2 linked regions of the Cricetulus griseus genome follow. The protein of the gene in region 2 interacts with the protein of the main gene of each other region in a pairwise test. Links are inferred from orthologs where the notes say so. Each region holds a gene or a part of one and is shown on either strand. Other genes may lie near its edges.

Region 1 (3,500 bases), on a different chromosome or scaffold from region 2:
TTTTTATTTTATGTGCATGTGTGTTTTGCCTGCCTTTATGCACATGCACCATGCATGTGCCTAGTGCCTCCGAAGGCCAGAGTTACAGATGACTATGAACCACCATGTAGAATAGCAAGCAACAAGCATTCTTAACCATTGAGCCATTTCTCCAGCCCAAGTATGAGTTGTTTGTTTTGTTTTGTTTCGTTTTGTTTTGTTTTTAAATGCCAAAGTGGAAAAATTGTCTATAGAGGGAATGTTGGGATAATGCCAGGGTCCACAGATTTTAGACATTGTTAAAGCTATGAAAGGCTATAATTAAAAAGTAAAAATGTGGGGCCAGAGAGATGGCTCAGCCATAAGAATACATGCTGCTCTTGCAAAGAACCTAGGTTCCATCCCAGAATCCATGTGGAAACTCACTACCATCCCCATTTCCATGAGATGTGACACTTTCTGACCTCCATGGGCATCAAGCAGACACACATGTGGTGCACAGACATTCATGCAGGCAAAACACACATAAAATAAAATATAAAAGAAATTTAGAAACAAGTTAAAAGAGGAGAGATAATAACCAGAGAAAGAAAAAACTGTAGGAATAAGAAGGGAAGCCCATGAAATGTGGTTGAAAAGTCTTACAAAGAACATTATTAGCCAGGTGGTGGTGGCGCACGCTTTTGATCCCAGCACTGGGAGACAGAGGCAGGCGGAACTCTGTGAGTTCGAGGCCAGCCTGGTCTTCAAAGAGAGTTCTAGGACAGTCTCTAAAACCTACAGAGAAACCCTGTCTCGGAAAAAAAAACAAAAAACAAAAGTAGACTGTGTGGAGAGAAAAAAAAAATCTCAAAGCTCAAAGCCTAACTGACCAAGTCACAGACAAAAGCCAAGTCATAGTCTGGCATATGCAAGAATGGAATAAATAATGATAGAAAATAAGTAAAAAGAATGCCGTTGGAGAGAATTTCTAACACAGTTGTGCTGAGTTGAAAGATGTGCTTCTCAGATCCCTTTGATTCTAGAAGGTTCTTCTTGGTGCTGTGTCAGAGCAGCTAGGGTCTTACATAGATCTTTACAGCTCCCATGTTCCCTGTGTTCTGGTGTGTGTGGAAGGATAGGTTCTAACTCCTTCCCAAGTGGTTCCCCTGCACTCTACCATGATGTCTTCTGGTCCTAGTAATGTTTTGACTGCTTTGTTGTGTGCACTTCAGTAGTGGACTTGGCTCTGGAAGTAGTCCATTTGTGGGGAAGCTCCTGCTTCCCTACAGTGATCTCTGCTGCCTTAATCAGATCATTTACAGACTATCACTTGCAGGAAATGGCTCATCATGTGTTACCATGACTAGTTTCTTTCACAGAGTTTCAGTTGCAAGGATTCTCACCCGCCATCTCAATGAGAAGTCTTAATTCCTGTTTTCTCTCTTCCTATCTAGGGTGTGGATGGCATCATATCATGGTATGTATAGCTGCCAGTGGCAGTCTTTCTGTGTGGTAAGAATGGCTTAGTCTTCAAATAGAACATAATTTCTCCCAGGTTGGGGCCATTTAGATGTAGTATTGAATTTCTGATTTAAAAAAAAAAAAGGGACCAAGTGTTTTGCCACTATTGAGGATAGATTAGAAATGGGTTGTGGGGAACTGTTTGGCTCAGTAGCGGGATTCAGGATAAAAGATTAGGGTACTCTTTGTTTGTTTTGTTTTGTTTTTGCTTTTTTGAGACAGGGTTTCTCTGTGGCTTTGGAGGCTGTCCTCGAACAAGGTCTTATAGACCAGGCTGGTCTCAAACTCATAGAGATCACCTGCCTCTGCCTCCCAAGTGCTGGAAAAGGCGTGAGCCACCAACACCTGGCTGGAAGAGGATATCCTTGTGTCTGGATAGCACACCCACATGGCCACACCAAAGATTTTCCTAAGACACTGGGATCATATTTGCTTTAATTTGATGTCCTCATCTTTTCCAACTATTTTTCCAAGAGAGCCTGAAAAATCAGATGTTATCAATGATTCTCTATAATTAGCTACAGGTTTTGAAGACATTGGACTTTTCCAGATGTATTTCCTATACTTGATTTGCTTTGAGCACCTGGGTATGGGTTCTGTTGCCTGCTGTTTGATCCTTTCCCAAGAAACCACATTCATGAAAATATTTTTCCACACCTTTTTCCCTAAGTACCTTAGTTTTGGTTTGCTTTAAGATTTTATTATGTTAACATCTCTTGTGAGTTCAAGGAAGCAGAGTGGGAGAAAATAAATTGCTTAATTTTAGAAGGTAAGAACGATGATTTTGAGAACATATGGCTTTCCCAATACCACACTGAAAGTAAGCTAGAGGGAACATGGTTGTATCCCCAGCTGGCAGGCTACCCTCTTCAGCATCCTCAAGAGAGCTCAAGTGTGTCTGTGGTTTGAAATGAGAGGAAATCAGTGGTGGTTGGGGGTCCTTAAGAGGGACTGGAGGTCAATTGTTTTTATCCTTAGGAGTCATGCCTTTTCACTCAAGAGACCCAAAACTATCCCCAAGGAACGAAGAAGAGTGTTCCGAGCCCCTGATCTGCAAGGCATGCTGCAAGTGCTGCAAGGTGAGGAGAGTTATGTTACATGACTTAGCTTTGGGAATCTAGTAGCTTCTAGATATGAACAAGGAAGGGTAGATACCACGTATGGATGATTTGACCATCTCTGATGGGACATGACCATCTTTGACCCTATTATGGTTTTCAACTCTTCCCCCTGATCTTGAGAAGAAATGGACTTTAGAATACCTTTGCTTTGCTTGCATTTAATATTGTGAATTTTTATCATTTCAGAGCTCATAGAAGCCCAACGTTACTGGGGTAAGGAGAAAATACAGCACATAAGCCACCCCCTTCTCACTGTCTTGCAGAGCTTATGTTTCTGTTAGGTGTCATGTTGCTTCTCCCAAGATATGTAGTATGCTTCTGCAATCTACCTCTGCTGTGATTTCTACACAGAGTTCCTTTCTTCTTCAACTTTTATTCATAACATCACAAATAAGGCTGTTTCCTGTCCTCATGACACTCCTGTCATTTTTGTGCAGTTCAAGTGACATTGATTGAAAACAACAATCCAAACATTGTCATTACTGCGGACAAGAGACAAATAAGATATGAAGACCATCAAACAAGAAATGTTGCATCTGGGGGTCAGAACTGTCGTGAAGGTGTCCTGGGCTACCCTGCTATCCAATCAGGAAAACATTATTGGGAAATGGATGTGTCTGGAAAAGGTGCCTGGGTTCTGGGATTAAGTGATGGAAGCTACCTCTTCAATCCGATATTTCATTCAAATGCTGAAAGATGCCTAAATCCTTTATTTCGTTTGGGTATCAGCAATGACTCACATTATCAACCTAAATATGGCTTCTGGGTCATAGGGTTGTGGAACAAGTTTGTGTATAATGCTTTTGAGGAGTGTACTTTCACAGGCAAGCCCAGGGTCTTGACCCTCTCGCTGATGGTTCCTCCCTGTCGCGTTGGCGTTTTCCTTGACTATGCAGC
Region 2 (3,970 bases):
TGGTCAAAAATAAGTCATTAGATCCACCAAAATTCTTAAACACCAGCATATGAATTAAACCTGGTACACTGGAGATTTACTGAGGTGACATGCTGAAATAATTACTTGATCAGCTATTGGAAAAATTACATTTATATACTTAAATAAAATATATAGATTACACTATGGGTCCTTCATTAAGGTGAAAATTAACCAACAGCCTATCTATGGAACTGAACATACTAAAACATTGATGAAACAAAATACTGAGAATAGAACTAACTGTAGTGCTTTTTATATTACTAAATGGTTTTTTTTGTTGGTTTTTTTTTTTTTTTTTTTGAGACAGGTTTCTCTAACAACCATGGCTATCTGGAACACTGTAGACCAGGGTGGCCTCTAACTCACAAAGATCAGCCTGCCTCTACCTCTCAGTGCTGGGATTAATGGCTTGTGCTACCATGACCAGTTTACAATATTAAATTTTATCTGATCTTTTCCAAGTATCCTTTGCAGTTTACTTTCCTGGTTCCTAAGTTCCTACAAGGTTTATAAAGGCACTGTTCCTGAATAACTTGTGTTTGCAATCCCTGTTTTCCTAAGAGATAATGACAATTTTTTTAATCTCATTCTTGAGAATGAACTTTTATTTGCATGTGTGGGTATAGAGGTCAAAGGATAACCTTCTACCTTGTTGGTCCTCCGGACCGAACTCAGGTCATCAGGGTTGGCAGCAAGCCTCCTTTACCCAAGGAGTCATCTCCTCAATCCATCACTTAAATAGAAAGTCACATCACATAAAGCAGAGGATATATGGATTTTCAGGCCAGTAACCTGACACTTTTAAATAAAAGAAAGCATTACAAGTCTAAAGACTTGTACAACCTTATTGTAGAAAAAACGTTTTAGGCTGCTGACAACAAAATCAGTTCTCATCTTTCATTAAGAATATATGTCTACAATCCCAAAGTACATTTGCTTATTAAAGAAAAAGTTAAAATCACTGTTAAAATGTATGTGAATACAGACATTCACACTTTCTGCACTGTTCCACAAAAATACAAAGTCATCCTTCCATTCAGAGTTTTGGCAAATGAATACAGAGGTCAGAGTTCATGCTATGTAAGACAGATCACTACTTATTTCTTAGTCTGTTCACTAAGCCTGCAAATATAGTCACTTCAATTTTAAGTAAATTTCTACCAAAGATGGATAATTATCTGCAGACTCAGTGGCACAAATAATGCTGGAGTGCTAAAGGATTTGTAACAATTCCTCATATACTTAAAATATCTAATTTTAAAGATCGTTATTGGCATTATCAAAATACCAAGCACATAAGAACATATAGCACTGCTTATTGGACAGTGGAATGTGAACCTTGAGAAAGATAATTACTTTCAGAATTTTCTTGCTAACTTCAATCACAGAAAATCTGGGATTTTTGTTCATTCAGATCTGAAAAATTGTACTATTGTTTGCAAAGCTGAGTCAGATTGTTAAAATTCAATATTTCACATAAGTATGACCAGCATTAACGTATTTAAATTTTGAAGGACTCACGGGTAGTCTTATTTTTTAGTATGCTATTACGTGACATATTTTGTATCAGAACAAACCTAACTCAATAATGAGCTACAACAATGCGAATCTGATGAAATCTCTTGTTTTTAATATGCCTCTTTTCAAAAGTAAGACTTAAGTTACCTACAAGGGACATCATAATGAAGTTTCACAGTACACTAGTCACAGAGGCATTGCCCTAGGAGAGACTCTGATATTGGTAAACAGTATTTTGAAATAAGCTACTCATCCTTTTTTCCTAGTTCAAATCATTTAATAACAAACTTCTTGCCTTTCATCAGACAAACAACTAAATGTCAATGATGAGGCCTAGTGACTGGTGGAGTGCGTGGAAACGAGATGATTATCTAATTTGGAATTCATTTCCTATATGTAATGAAAACTGCTTCAACACCCCTTCCAAATACGAGACTGACCATTATGTCTCCATGTGTCCCCCAACACTACTACAAGGGAGTAACTGAATGTCTTCCTTTCGTTCATACCTAAGGACTCTGTAGGCTCCTTCCTCAAAGAAAAGACAGCAAAGGACTGGCAAGCAATACCCAGAGTACCCCGAAAAGTGTGGGCCTGTGAGGTGCGCTGCTGCCGGGGATCTAGTTACTATCTTTCCCCTTCCCCCAACCCACTTCCCGGGTTTTCTCGGCCTGCTCCTTCCCCACCCCAGAGCCACACAGACAGATGTTGCCTCCGCCTCGGGGCTCTCCCCAGAGCTCACGTGTCCCCGACAAGTGCTTCTGCATCTGTCCCCCAAACCCCGTTCCTCCCCAGGCCGGCCGGCCGCCCGCGAGACCGTCTATCCCAGGGCCCGGGGAGGGGAGGGAAAGGCGGCAGGAGGAGGAGGGGAGAGCGCCGCTTCCCCATCGGCTGAGAGGCGGCCGCAGCGAGGCCAGCCGGGACCGCCGGGGTCGCGGAAGGGAGGGCCCTCCCGCCCCGGGCTGAGATGGGGGTGTCCGGTAGATCATTTCTGACCTCCTCGCTCTTCAGCACCTCCTTGAACTCCCGCTTGATTCGCTGCACCGCGATGTTGGCCATGTCTCTGCCCGCAGCTGATTCGTACCCGCCTCCTCCGCCACCGCTACGACCACCGCCACCGCCGCCACCTCTTCCTCCACCGCCTCCTCCCTCAGTGATTCGGACCCGAGCACACGAACGCTGCCACTGCCACCCTTGCCGCCGCGTTCCCCCTCAGTGTAGAATCACCTCCGCGCCCGGCCACCAAAATGGCGCCGGGTCCGCGCATGCGCACCACGCTGACCCGGGCGGGCGGCGCAGCCGCTCCTGTGGCAGCCCCATACGTCTCAGCAGCGAGCCCGCGCCGCGCCGTGCCGCGCGTCTCAGCCGGGGCTTCGGCCGCGTGGCTCCGCCCTGCCGGCGTCTGGGGCGAGGAGGGTGCGGCTTCCGCGCCGGTCAGCGGGGTCTGGGCCTGGCCGGTCCTCCCCTGGCCCTCCGCCCCTTATCCCGGGAGGCTCGGAGCCGAGGTGGGAGCCCCACCTGGCGGGTTCCCCAGGCCCCACCCGGCCTGAGCCCCGCTCTAACTCTGCCAGACCCAGAGCCCACGGGCTTGAGGTGCCTCCCTGTGTCCAACCGAGGAAAAAGCTATGCAGGAACTCGGTCCTGCCCAGCGTCCGTTGGTAAACCCCCCCGGGAAATCCACTGCCGTAGCTTTTGTTCTGGAACCATGATAACGCAGCTATTATTCGGTCATCTCAGGTATTACACATTGAAGTTGTGTAATGGTTGGATCCCACGGGTTGTGCTTGCTACAGGTATTGCCAGGGAGAGGCCTGTGGTTGGTTTAAAAGCCAGAAGTTAATCTTTGGCCTGTTTAGATAATGAATGTTGAGCTGTAGAACTAACATTGTTTTAAAACTTGAGGTGCTTCAAAATCCCTGGAGAGCTTAAGATTGCTAGGCCCTATCCCTACAGTGTGGATGGGCCTAAGAATTTGCATTCTTAGCAAGATACCTGGCTGCCTATTTTTCAGCGACTACGCTGTGAGAACGGCTGAATTAAGCATATGAAAATCTGTTATGATTATAGTGAAAGTTGGAGAAATAGACACTCCTTAGGAGGATGAAGGAGCTCTAGACCTACATAGGTGTTTGGCACTGGTAGATTTAAATAAGCCGTGAGTATAATTGAATGGAGAAGATGATAAAGGAGTAAAATGTTTTAGGTCAACAATAATGTTGGAAGGCGATTTGAAAGTGGTCAGTAGAGTTTAAAGCAAATACTATAGTTTGGGTACTGAGAGGTACTTTGAAATAGTGGAAGTTTTATTTTAGGAGTATGTTTCGTGTATTTCGTCACTTAATCAATCACTTGAATATTCTAAGACTAATAGGAGCTTCGTGTGGTGGTCCACACTTGTAATCCCAGATTTCAGGAGTCTGAAGCGGAAGGG

The links. The genes of interacting proteins can lie anywhere in the genome.
Region 1: the proteins of Ube2k (region 2) and tripartite motif-containing protein 30A interact in binary tests that used the Homo sapiens proteins (3 or more experiments, as listed by UniProt). The link is inferred for Cricetulus griseus from reciprocal best matches to the Homo sapiens genes UBE2K and TRIM5.

What each region holds. Positions count from the first base shown.
Region 1 is NC_048596.1:95,219,799-95,223,298, forward strand, and holds part of tripartite motif-containing protein 30A, read left to right. Parts: intron 1-1,415; coding exon 1,416-1,438; intron 1,439-2,460; coding exon 2,461-2,561; intron 2,562-2,789; coding exon 2,790-2,816; intron 2,817-3,040; coding exon 3,041-3,500.
Region 2 is NW_023276807.1:132,582,154-132,586,123, reverse strand, and holds the start of Ube2k (ubiquitin-conjugating enzyme E2 K), read right to left. Parts: upstream 2,801-3,970; 5' UTR 2,599-2,800; coding exon 2,536-2,598; intron 1-2,535. UniProt on the Homo sapiens protein: Accepts ubiquitin from the E1 complex and catalyzes its covalent attachment to other proteins. In vitro, in the presence or in the absence of BRCA1-BARD1 E3 ubiquitin-protein ligase complex, catalyzes the synthesis of 'Lys-48'-linked polyubiquitin chains.